3 linked regions of the Danio rerio genome follow. The protein of the gene in region 2 binds, or shares a complex with, the protein of the main gene of each other region. Links are inferred from orthologs where the notes say so. Each region holds a gene or a part of one and is shown on either strand. Other genes may lie near its edges.

The links.
Region 1: the proteins of lin9 (region 2) and lin52 are in contact, whole or in part, in a crystal structure (PDB 6C48), measured with the Homo sapiens proteins. The link is inferred for Danio rerio from reciprocal best matches to the Homo sapiens genes LIN9 and LIN52. Residues at the interface, in NP_001353174.1 of Homo sapiens: Leu335, Gly336, Phe338, Phe342, Leu343, Ile344, Val346, Thr347, Leu349, Ser350, Lys351, Leu353, Met354, Lys356, Lys357, Ile360, Leu363, Arg364, Asn367, Thr368, Ala370, Glu371, Lys374, Ile382, Phe384, Gln385, Tyr388, Ala389, Val392, Leu395; in NP_001019845.2 of Homo sapiens: Asp61, Met64, Leu65, Leu68, Gly69, Leu71, Thr72, Thr73, Leu76, Met77, Val80, Leu83, Gln84, Leu86, Ala87, Leu90, Asp93, Glu94, Glu97, Met98, Arg100, Gly101, Leu104, Asn105, Ile106, Leu107, Glu108, Pro110.
Region 3: lin9 (region 2) and e2f4 share a complex: the UniProt entries of both Homo sapiens proteins name them as parts of the DREAM complex. The link is inferred for Danio rerio from reciprocal best matches to the Homo sapiens genes LIN9 and E2F4.

What each region holds. Positions count from the first base shown.
Region 1 is NC_133192.1:33,276,355-33,280,807, reverse strand, and holds the start of lin52 (protein lin-52 homolog), read left to right. Parts: upstream 1-1,567; 5' UTR 1,568-1,579; coding exon 1,580-1,598; intron 1,599-2,186; coding exon 2,187-2,261; intron 2,262-2,420; coding exon 2,421-2,458; intron 2,459-2,534; coding exon 2,535-2,601; intron 2,602-3,528; coding exon 3,529-3,612; intron 3,613-4,453.
Region 2 is NC_133195.1:47,010,013-47,013,666, forward strand, and holds part of lin9 (protein lin-9 homolog), read left to right. Parts: intron 1-3,239; coding exon 3,240-3,341; intron 3,342-3,409; coding exon 3,410-3,490; intron 3,491-3,654. UniProt on the Homo sapiens protein: Acts as a tumor suppressor. Inhibits DNA synthesis. Its ability to inhibit oncogenic transformation is mediated through its association with RB1. Plays a role in the expression of genes required for the G1/S transition.
Region 3 is NC_133200.1:18,362,963-18,366,616, forward strand, and holds part of e2f4 (transcription factor E2F4), read left to right. Parts: intron 1-502; coding exon 503-664; exon of another isoform or gene 665-676; coding exon of another isoform or gene 677-687; intron 688-3,654. UniProt on the Homo sapiens protein: Transcription activator that binds DNA cooperatively with DP proteins through the E2 recognition site, 5'-TTTC[CG]CGC-3' found in the promoter region of a number of genes whose products are involved in cell cycle regulation or in DNA replication.

The sequences.
Region 1 (4,453 bases), on a different chromosome or scaffold from region 2:
TTCCTGAAAAGTTCAGTTGAGTTCGTGTTTGAATTGTTGATAAAAAAATTGTTTGCAATATTGTCTTTAAATTATTGTCTTAAATGCAAATTGTAAACAGACTGACTCAGGTGCATTTATTTGGATTTAGGTTGTGTTGCATTTGATACCAACACATTTTCTGGCTCAATTGACTGAAAATATATATGTTTTTCATTAATCACCAACATTGTAAGAGCTCTGTATTTATACTTGAATTTTACTTATTTAATTTTACTAATTATTTTATTTTTCCAAGTATAATAAAGTGACCTTCTGTCTTTTAGAGACATGATCTGTACAGAGGTGTTGATAGTTATTTCTTCAACCAGTTTTACAATACCATCCCTTTTTTAATGTCTTTTAAATGGGCCTTTTCGTATAATGCTATGTACAAAGCATTTGAAAATGGGTTGATCAAAGTAATAATGCTACAGTGAATGAATGATGTTTCTTTAGTGTTTTAAAATAAATAAAATGAACACTCTGTTAAAAATATTGATATGATACGTTAAAATGTGCTGAAACTAGACTTGTTTATGTTTACCAATAATTTTTATTTTTGGTCTATTTATAATTACTGCCTTTTTTGTAGCTGTACAGAAGTTTGTTCTGCTGTGTTTTTTGGCCTGACTGAGTCTTGAGTCTTATATTATATTAACACTATCATAATACTACTCAAGTACTCTGTATGAAAGCTAAACATATTAATGTTCGCATATTATTCATATATATTTTTACTTATTTTGCAAGAAAGAACGTTATCAAAGACACAGTTTAAACAAATAGACAGAAATGAATTCATAATTAAAATTCCAGCAAATTAAACAAGTTTAAATGATTTACACCAAGAAAGTGTTTTACATGCAATATAACTGTTAGGGTCTTTTAAAGAGTTCACATATAAAGTAATTTCTTAAAATAAAAAAGTAGGGTGTTTCTTTGAAAATTTACATTTATCGATGTAAATTTTAGGGGGGGGGAAACAATTAATTACAAATTTACAAGAATTCAGAAAGTATCTAAAGAATATAATTTTTTGTGGGAAATACAAAAGTTTGGAAATAATACAATTTTTGTGAAATTGGAAAAGTCAACCCAAATGACTTTACAATAAGTGCACTCCCAAAATAGGCCAAAAAGATTTAGTGTTTCACCATATTGAGTACAAAATGAGCATTTGAAGGAAATATTGTTATTAAATTTACCTAGTTTGTTGTTTATTGGGTAGCAATTATGAATGATTCTGATTGAGACTTCAACAGCTTTATTAGATAAAAATATGTATTTTTTCCGAATACCATCCAAGATCAATATCAAGAAAAGGCCATTAAAGACCATTAAAGAGATCAGAGAACTGTTAACAATAAAGAGAATCACTTTGTTTGACATAGAACTGAGAAGAGTTTGGTCAACAAAAAGGTTTGTGCTGTCAATAATATTTATATTCATATTTTTCAGTCAATTATTGCGACATCATTTTACAACATAAGAGGGTGTGGCTATTTTATCCAAGACCTCCAGTGATTGGCTGCTTAGAATCACGTGTGTTGTTGTCAAGATGGCGTCTCCGAATGGAGGTAAATTTTAATTCCTCTTTTCCCTGGCAGCGTTAGTTGTTAACGCAATAGTGCAACGGACTAATTAAGTCATATAAATCATTATGCGGTTTAGCATATTTTTTATAAAGAACTGATGGATTCTGAATCAAAATAAGCTTTTCAGTCGGAATAGCGTCATAAAATTGTTTGGAGCCAGTCATTAGCAAAGCTACGTGTCAGACGACATCAGTTGTGTAGTAATAATTTAATACGAATGTAATAGTGTAGTAAATACGCGAAGACATATTACTTTTGGTGTGTCGTGATTTTATCTTTAACGTTAGTTATGTAACTCATTATTTTGTGACAAGATTACTCAATGCAGCTAGCTCAGCTTTGAGTAACTTAGCAGCTGAGTAAACATAATATCTCTGTCATAACATCAGCTTAATTTTACACCTTGAATAATATGTGACAGAAGATTTTTTTTTGTAACGTCATCTAAGCTGAGTTATGTTAAAATTGAAATTGTGTATATTTAACATTTTTTATTGTACTTCAGGTTTATTGATCCTGTTGCTGATGAGTTTTCTCTGACCATAGAGCATTTATCTTTTTAATGTGTAGGTGAGGACTTTGAATCTTCTCTGATAAGTTTAGAAAATCTTGACCGGGCTTCACCTGACCTGTGGCCAGAGCAGTGTAAGTTTGACTCTCTAATCTTATTCAGTTGGACTAATATTTATGACACATTAACATATTTTTCCAAATATATGTAAAAAAAAATGCACTGATTGAAATATAGAAATTACATTTGATTATTACACATTGTCATATTTTTGAACGCTTTGTTTTTAACAGTGCCGGGTGTGTCAGAATTTGCAGCATCCTTTAAAAATGTGAGTAAATATTCAAATGATAATGAATACTTTTCAAAGTTGATGTGAAATTAAGGCTTGGTTTTTGTTATTTCAGCCTATTACAAATTCTCCACCCAAATGGATGGCTGAACTGGAGTCAGAGGATATTGAAATGTTGAAAGGTCTGCCTTTTTTAAAGTAGTATTCATATCAAGTCTTTTAATGTATCATTTAGTCTTTTATCTATGCTTTCTATATATTGCTTAGTAGAATAGGTTAATAATAGTTAGATGAGTTGCTTGGTGAATTCCAGGGTGTCCGCGCGGTCTTAAAAAGTCGTAAAATGTCTTAAACCTCAAAATTACATTTTTATGTCTTAAATTTACTGAAATATTGTGTTGTAGTTCCTAAATGTTAAATTAAATTTTTTTTAAATTAGGTCTTAATTTTCCTTTGTTTATGTATCGCTACGCAGTCTGGCCATTAGTCCTATACGATCACCAACAATTCATCTCAATAAAACCTTTTATATAAAAAGGTGATTTTTAACTCTGTTTACCATAACAGTTTTATTATTTTCCTCAAAATACATAATATTTGTTAAAAAGTGTTCCATGTATTTGCTGCTGAGGACACCGACCTGGACAGATTGTTTTGCATAGATTTAGTTATATTAAAACTTTAAAAACATTAATTCATTTTTTATTGTAAAGAAAGTTTATGTTGGAAAAATAAAGTGTATGTATACAAGTAGAGCTTGTTTGTTTTTAAACAATATTTGAATATTTTTATAAAAAATATCTAAAATATTTATTTTTTTATTATTAAATTATAATTGTATTATTAATATATAATCGTTTTTTGATGGGGCAAATGAAAAATCTTTTCCATCTGGGCCATATGAAAAATTCCTTAGCGATTAGTCCTTTATGAGTCTAAAATTTCATTCATAAGGGTCTTGAAAATGTCTTGAAGTCTTAAATTTAACTTTGTGAAACCTGCAGAAACCCTGGAATTTATAAAAGCTACAGTATAATATTTTGTTTCGGTTCTGGTCCATTTTTATTTTATTTTTTGTAACTTGTTTGTTGTGGCTTTTTTTTTTTTAGAATTAGGAAGTTTGACCACAGCAAATTTGATGGAAAAGGTGAAGGGTCTGCAGAATCTGGCTTACCAGTTGGGCTTGGAGGAGTGTAAGTAATGTCTTACTCAACTCAGAAATAGTGCATTAGTTCACACTGTTTATCTAGTTACGGTATATTGTAAGTCATCCACTAGATGGCGATATTAGAAAAAGAATAAAACTTACTGACAAACACAAACCCAGCTTTTAATACATAAAGACATTTTTCATGTTTTTTGCCGCTGTGATATTTAGGATAGAGTTAAAAAGACAATACAACAAATAATTCATTATATGTAGTCTGGAGCCTAAATCCATCTGAATCCTTGTGTGGAAAAAACACTTATTTGTTATGTTCTATTCGTTTATTTCAGTCTGTAAGTCTCAAATGAATTCCCACTCTATATTTAAACAGAACTGGCTTGTTGCCCAGTGTCTCTGTAATATTATATCACAGAATTGCTAGATGTAGCATTAATCCACGCAGGCAGGATTACAGGAAAGATAAGTGTTTCAGTTATTTTCTAGATGAAAATGGGCATCGAAACATCGCACAATTTGAAAGCGAGTACTGCAGACCATTGGTGAACACTCGTTTCAGATGTATTACATTCCTTCTGCTGATTTGACCTTTGTGTGGCATGTCCCTCAGAAAGCCCTCAACAAACTATGCTTCAATGAGAAAAATCAGTCAAATGCTTTTCTGTCTACTTGATTTTTACTCTACTATTTTGAATAATTTCCATAATGTTACAGAGAGAGGATAAAAAAAGCATCAGTTAATTTAAATAATTCAAAGATATGCATTTATATTGATTTAAAATTAAGCACATGAACCATTTTATTTGATAAAACTCTTACATGCACAACTGTTTCAATAACGTTAGTAGTTTTTAGATTTAGATTCATTC
Region 2 (3,654 bases):
GGGTTGGTTTAACTGTGCATAACTTTACAATAGGAAGAATCGGCGACAACTTTGTCTCCGTCTGCTAACTACGTCTCACAACCAAACACACGCGAGAAGTGACATGAAAACAACACGAAGCCACGTTGTATATCTTTTGTTATTGACTACATAATGAGAAAGAACCCTTTAGGGCAGTGGTCACCAAACTTGTTCCTGTAGGGCCGGTGTCCTGCAGATTTTAGCTCCAACCCTAATCAAACACACCTGAACAAGGTAATTAAGGTGTTACTAGGTATACTTGAAACACCCAGGCAGGTGTGTTGAAGCTTATTTCTTTTTTGACTCCCTTGTGCTATTGCTCAGATGACACGTCAAACTGACAGGAATGCTGCTGCCAAATTTCCAGTAGTTTTTTCTCCATTTCTTGGGCCCAAATAGATTGAAAAAAGGCCCTTAACTTCTCCCCAACCTCCCGCTGGCCTGCAGATACCCAAACTAGTGGATGCTGCTCTCTCATTGGCTGTAGGTCATCGGCGATGTTATCAGAACTCATTTCACACGGCATGATTTGAATCGCCGACTGCTCCAGATATTTAGCATGCCAAGTATCTCACGGGTGTCGGCGACTTATCTGCGATTCTCTCAGCTCACCTCTTTGATACTTCACACTATGTGATTGCAGGGGTGATAGCGTTCCGGCACCACGCCGGATTTCCGGCGTACTGTGGCTGCGGGGAAAAAAAAATCAGGTTCACGGATATTGATCTGTCATTTCTCTAGATTCACAGAATTCACTCACTGCTGAAAGCGCCGGATTGGTTTTTATTAAGTGCCATTTTGTGTGCTCGTGAATCATCTTTTGAGTGTAGACGCCATGTAAATAAAAGATTAATTGTGTAATTTAGAGAGCTTTATAAATTATAACGAATCTTTGTGAGATCTCTATGAACTAAGATAAGTGACGCTTTTTAGTGATAATAAGAGAAGCGTGCTTTGCACTTTCCAGGCTATAATCCATTCAGAATTTGTATGAAACTTTCGTTTTCGGCACATATACGCTGATATGTTTTGGGAATGACATCTGCATATTTACGCTGGGTTTATTCTCGAAATAACGGTGAAGAAATAGACGGGACAAAAATATATTTCCCCCTTCTCCTTAAACAACTTAGTGTTTCAGCTATGAAAGAGTTCAGTTTTGTATGTAGCCTAATGGCAAAGTGTTTATATTTAGTTTCGTTTTTTATTCAGCTTATTTAGAAAAACGTTTGGAGCATTTTTTATTCGTTAAAAATACGTTTTTTTTTAACGAACAGCGCCCAGCGGAAGACCATCATTGTCTGTTTGATCAGTTTGCCTTCTCAGATCATCACGACTTGCCTAAAATAAAAGATATAAAACAGTTCAAGTATAAAACAATGGTAGCTTAAACGTTAAAGAATGTGTGCTATTAGGCGCATAGTTTGCTTATAAAAAGCTTGCAGGACATCGAGGCGCCAGAGCAATCACTTGCATTTTTTCAGTGGGAGCAATTTAAAGTTATCCGTCATTTTTGCTCACAAAGTACGAGTAATACATCAAAAAACGTTACAGCGTTTTTATAAAATAAAGAAAACCAAAATTATGCGCTTTCTGTCGTCTGGTTTTTGAACAGGAGCGCTTAACAAAATGAAGCAAAATGTATATGCCGCACAGACATAATAAATATATTTATAGAAAGGTTTAAATTATTATTTAACGAAATAAAACAAATCGAAAACAAAAAAACTCCTTCATGTAATCCGTAAAGATGAATTTCTTTCTAAAGGCGAGTCCAAGAGGAGATTGCCAGTCAGGATCTTTGCGACACTGACTCAGAATAAGTTTATTAATAAATAATTAAGATATGTCCTTACTCTTTCCTCGACACATTCATTGTTATTTGTTTTTGCCGGTGCTTGGGGCGAGTTTTAGCTTATTGTGTGCGCTTGAACGCGGATTCACAGTAGCAGTTTTAACATGGAGTGACACGACATCTGACGTACAGATGACACTGGCACATGCCACTGAGTGTAGTGACACTTCCGGTGGCACGTCCGGTTTTCCACTGTCATGTGTCACTCGCTAGTGGCATGTGTAGTGACCTGTGTCACTCAGAGTGTCCCGCTGCATGTCACTGCAGTGACATCGACACCCTGCGAAGCTTATGACATTAATTAACACGAGTAAAACCATATTTAATCATTACGCGACTTTTAACCTAATTCATCGCGTCGCAAGTTAGTTTATTTGCTGAGCTACTCCACGATGTTTTAATTTAAATGCATTTATTTTATGTATTCGTAGTCATACTTCCGTACGTAATATAGTCATTTGACAGTACATGTCAGTCAAATTTATTGTGGCATGCTTATGTATGGGAGGGGTTACACTTATCTGTTGTGCTGTATATTATTGCATCCTAGCAGTTCCTTTGTTCCCTACAATATGGACTTCTCTATGTTTTTAATTCATTCATTTATTTTATTATTTAACTTATTTTCATTTTAAGGTATTTTAAATAATATCCTTTAAAAAGTTATAATAAAATGCATGTTGAAAACTCATAACATATATGCATGTAAGATAACAGGTGTCATTTGCCTAATGATTTTTAAATATTAAAGCAAAGAGACTTATAAGATTAATGTGCTTATAACGTGCTTATACTGACACCTACTGGCACATTTCACAAGATCACTGACACTGGCATGTGTCACTGACATTACTGGCATGTGACTAAAAAGAGCCACTTGACAATAATGATGATCAGGGTTACACATAGGCTGTTAATATATTTGGGCCCAGGGGCCCACAAGTTATGTGTTAAAAGTGCGTTGCATACATAGTACCCCTACCCCTACTCACCTCAGGGGCAAGGAAAAAAAGTTCAGGCTCAGGAATTTTTTCCACTATCAGCCCTGTGATTGTTACTCACAAGAACGAGCACCGATTTAGGAACTATCACTGGAACGAACACCTGGTTCAGGTGGGACTTAAACCTGCAACCTTCTTGTTGTGAGTCGACATTGCTTACCACTGAGCCACTGTGCTGCCTCTATATTAAAATGAATAGAATTAAGTATAAATGAACAAAACAGTTTTGTAATGATGTTCAGTATAATTACAGGGTCTGATTTGCCAGTTGAGAACCTTTGACACAAAACGTTGATGTTCCTTAATCATTTCCCGAAATCTTTTGGAAAGTAATTCAGAGTCTCTCCTTGCTCTGTTCTCAGGATAATGACCCTCTGTTCAGTCAGTCCCCCTGGAGAAGTAAACTGACGGGAACCGACGGAGAGACTCTGGGTGGATTTCCTGTCAAGTTTCTTGTGCAAGTGGTGAGAATCCCGATCACTGGTGTTGCTTATGTATTTGCCGTTTATTTTAACTTTGTTTTTTCTTCCAGACTCGCCTGTCCAAAATCCTCATGATTAAAAAAGAACACATAAAGCATTTGAAGGAGATGAACACAGAAGCTGAGAAACTGGTGAGTTTTTGTCGAGCTCATGTTTTTTTATTGTGCAGGTTGGATTTTTCATGCTCTACACATTTTTACCCTAATTTAGAGTTTGGGTGAGTGGGAGAATAAGACAGTATATCATCTTATCACACAACACCTATGGACATGACCTCAATCATTTTTGGTGATGC
Region 3 (3,654 bases), on a different chromosome or scaffold from region 2:
ATCCAGAGCTTATCATCGTTATTGACATGAATTTTATTGTGATTCAATATAATATTGTTTTAGGCCCAGCCCTAATAGAAAGCATATTGAATGCAAATAAAGTGTTTAAAATTTTTTAGCTGTAGCTATAATATTTGTGAAATAAATATATAAACCAATGATTTAAACTTTAAAGCTAATTCAAACTTTCAGACGAGACTTTGTCAAGCCACCATGAAGTTTATCTACGAACTTGTCTATTTTACTGTATTTTTGATCTGATAAATGCAGTCTTAAAATCATTTCAAATTTGAATGGCAGCAATGTTTATATTATTATTATTATTATTATTTGAAATATTACATAAAAATTGGCCAGTTAAATGATTAAAGGTTTATTTTAGTAGACCGCCACAAAAGTACTTCTAATTGCTCTTGCTATTTATGTTTTAGAAACACGTCTGCTTCAATGTCAACTAATTCATCTGATCTAAATGTCTGTTTCTATTTTTGTATGTTTGTAGGGGTGTTGGTCCGGGTTGCAACACGCGCGAGATTGCAGACAAGCTGATAGATCTCAAGTTGGAACTGGAGGATCTGGACAGAAGGGAGCATGAACTGGACCAGCAGAGAGTTTGGGTTCAGCAGAGCATCAAGAATGTGACCGACGACTCGCTAAACAGCCCATATCCTTCTAGATGCCTCAATCGTTTTTTTGTTTTCTGAGTGGTGTTCTCACTGTGCCGTGTTTAAAGGAACAGTTCACCTAAAAAAAATAATTAAGTGTTAATTTAATCACGCTTATGGTGTGCCCAAGATGACTGTGACGTTTGATCTCTTCAGTGGAACATTAAAGATTATTTTTAGCTGAAACTATGGTGATTTGTAAAATGCATTTTAACTTTGGGTCAAAAAAAAAAAACATACACAGGCAAAACAATATTAATGTATGTTACTATGGATGAGCAATAGGGATGCAACAGTGAACAAAAGTATCGACCTGTTGTTCTTCTAAGGTTAAGTGTGTCCTGTGATCCGCTGTTCAGAATATGCATTTTTATACTGGTTTGTCAATAGAAACAACTGAAAAAAAGCAATGTTCCACCTTTGTACTCTTCCAATTACCTTTCCCATCCATTGCACGTGCAAAGACCTGTCCAATCACCTCTTAGTATGTAAATGTGTTGTTGACATCACGTTTCCTCACATGTCGGCGTGTGCATGTGGAGTTTCTGTGCGTTTCAGCTTGGCAAGTGAAGGAGATAAAGCACAAATGCGCAGTGTTGCCAACTATTTTCAATGAAAAGTAGATAAAGCCTGCCCTAAAAATAGCTAAATGTTGCCAAATAACGTCACACACTAATTTGCATATCAGTGACATCATCACATAGTATCTGACAAACGTAAGCCTGTCATGTATCTATTCTCTAAGGCACTGTGTATTAGATTGTTAAAACAATACATTCAAATGCACAGTACATAGGTTCTTATTAACAAATTACTTTGCGTGATGACATTGCGTAACCACATCTCAAAACTACATCTTTATGCAATATGCAAAATTATGAACGTTTTCTCAAATTGACTGGCCATCTCAGCAAAAACATTATTTGAAATATGTCCATTTAGATTTGTATGAAAAATAGAGTTGACTATTTGTAAAAGTATTACAAACACTTTTTGATAATTTAGTTTTATTTTTAAATAAAACACTGATAATGAACAGTTACATTCTTTTAAACAATCACAGCTTGTGTACTTTTTTAACTTGTGAAATTAACACATTTGTGAAAGTGAAGACAATTGTAGCACTATTGAAATTTATTGCTAAATAAATTACCAACAATTTTACATGTTAACAAATATCAGTAAATTAACAGTTGAGCAGCTAGCAGCTGAGTGAAGCCTGCAGCCACTGCTCTTTTGAGTCACTTTTTAAAATTGCTAAAAGTAGCCAAATGATTGTTAAAAATTGCTAAATTTGTTGCTAGGTGCTTATTGAAAAAAAGTTGCTAGGGTAGTATAAAAAAAAGTTGCAAAATCTAGCAACAAAATTACTAAGTTGGCAACATTGCAAATGCACAGGTGAGACCAAATCACAGCGCGCTGCTGTCAGCGTTTAATCAGACACTCAATATAAATTCAGACAGACACAAAACCATAACGATTGCCATTTTTTGTTGTTGTTGCAAAGATAGCCTAGATCAGTGGTCACCAACAGGCGGATCGAGGTCTGTGTCCAGACTCAGAAGCATCCTTTTCGGACATGGACATACCACAGGTCTGTTACTTCATACCCACTCCTTCTGGGTGTTCTTCCACACCTGATCACTCCCTCTACTCTGTTTACCCGCTGCCTTCTAAGAACAGTTTTCTTCTCTATGTACCGTTTCCGTTGAAATAAGAGAGAAGAGCCGAACACTCTTCCTTTGCTTAATGCGGAATTCAGACTGCATGATTTTCAAAGTAGTCGTGTCACGGATGTTTTCACACTGCATGACTATCTGGGCTAGCATTTTGCCGCTGCTTTGTTTACACTGCAAGATGGAACGGCGACAGGGGGTTTCACACTGTATGACTTTACGATAGGAAGAATCGCAGACAACTTTGTCCAGACTACATCTCACAATCAAAAACACGCTGTATATCTTTATTTATTAACTACATAACCAGAAAGAAGCCTTTAATGGGGTAGAAAATGTACATATTGGCTGACTTGGGTTTGAAGGTAATTAGCAATTTCTCGTCAACTTTTTTTCTTTTTTGACCTGATTGTGATATTGTTCAGATGACACGTCAGACACGGGTGCTCCTGCCAACTTTCCACTAGTTTTTCCTCCATTTCTTGAGTCCAAATAAACTGAAAATGAGTGCTTTTTACTTCTCCCCTATCCTCTCGCTGGCCTGCAGGTACCCACATTAGTGAATGCTGCTCTCTCATTAGCTGTATGTGATCGCTGATGTATTTTCAGTCTAAACTCGTATCACATGGCATGATTTGAATCGCTACGGGCATCGGTGACTCAGCAGCGATTCTCTCAGATTCATTTTGGATAGTTCATGTTGTGTGATTGTCCCTTGCATGAACTAGCACCATTTTGCCTCTGATTTCAGGCATTTGTCGGCAAGTCAAAATCAAGCTAAAGTCGGCATAAGTTTCTTTCACTACGATGGTGCTAAGTGAAACAGAGCTCTCTGGAATCATAATAAAATCATAAATAACGATGCGCTGTTGCCTCGGTAATGCAAGCATAATGTAAACAGAAGTAATCAATACTTTAAAAGTGCTCAATTATTAAGATGTGTTGACATAATTATTATCTGCATAGTTGGTTGAGACTGTTGAGTAAAAATGTAAAACAGAAAAAGGGGAAATCTAAACTTATTTTCTTAAGCAATTTCCTTACAATTTTCAAAATGCCCTACTTTAATTAATGCAAGAACATGCAAATCCACAGTCATGTGTGTGAAGCTGTTGCATTGTCAGGTGTTTGTTAACAAATAAATGTGTTTATTGTTCTTTGAATTGTTCTGTAGGCATGTTTTTCCTGAGCATAGCACAGACTGTACCTTACTGAAATTGTGACTCTAAAACAGTGATGCATACTGGACCGTGAGTAAATTGAGCTGTTACACCCCTAATGAGCAAACTGTTACTAAGGCTGTGGATTTAAAG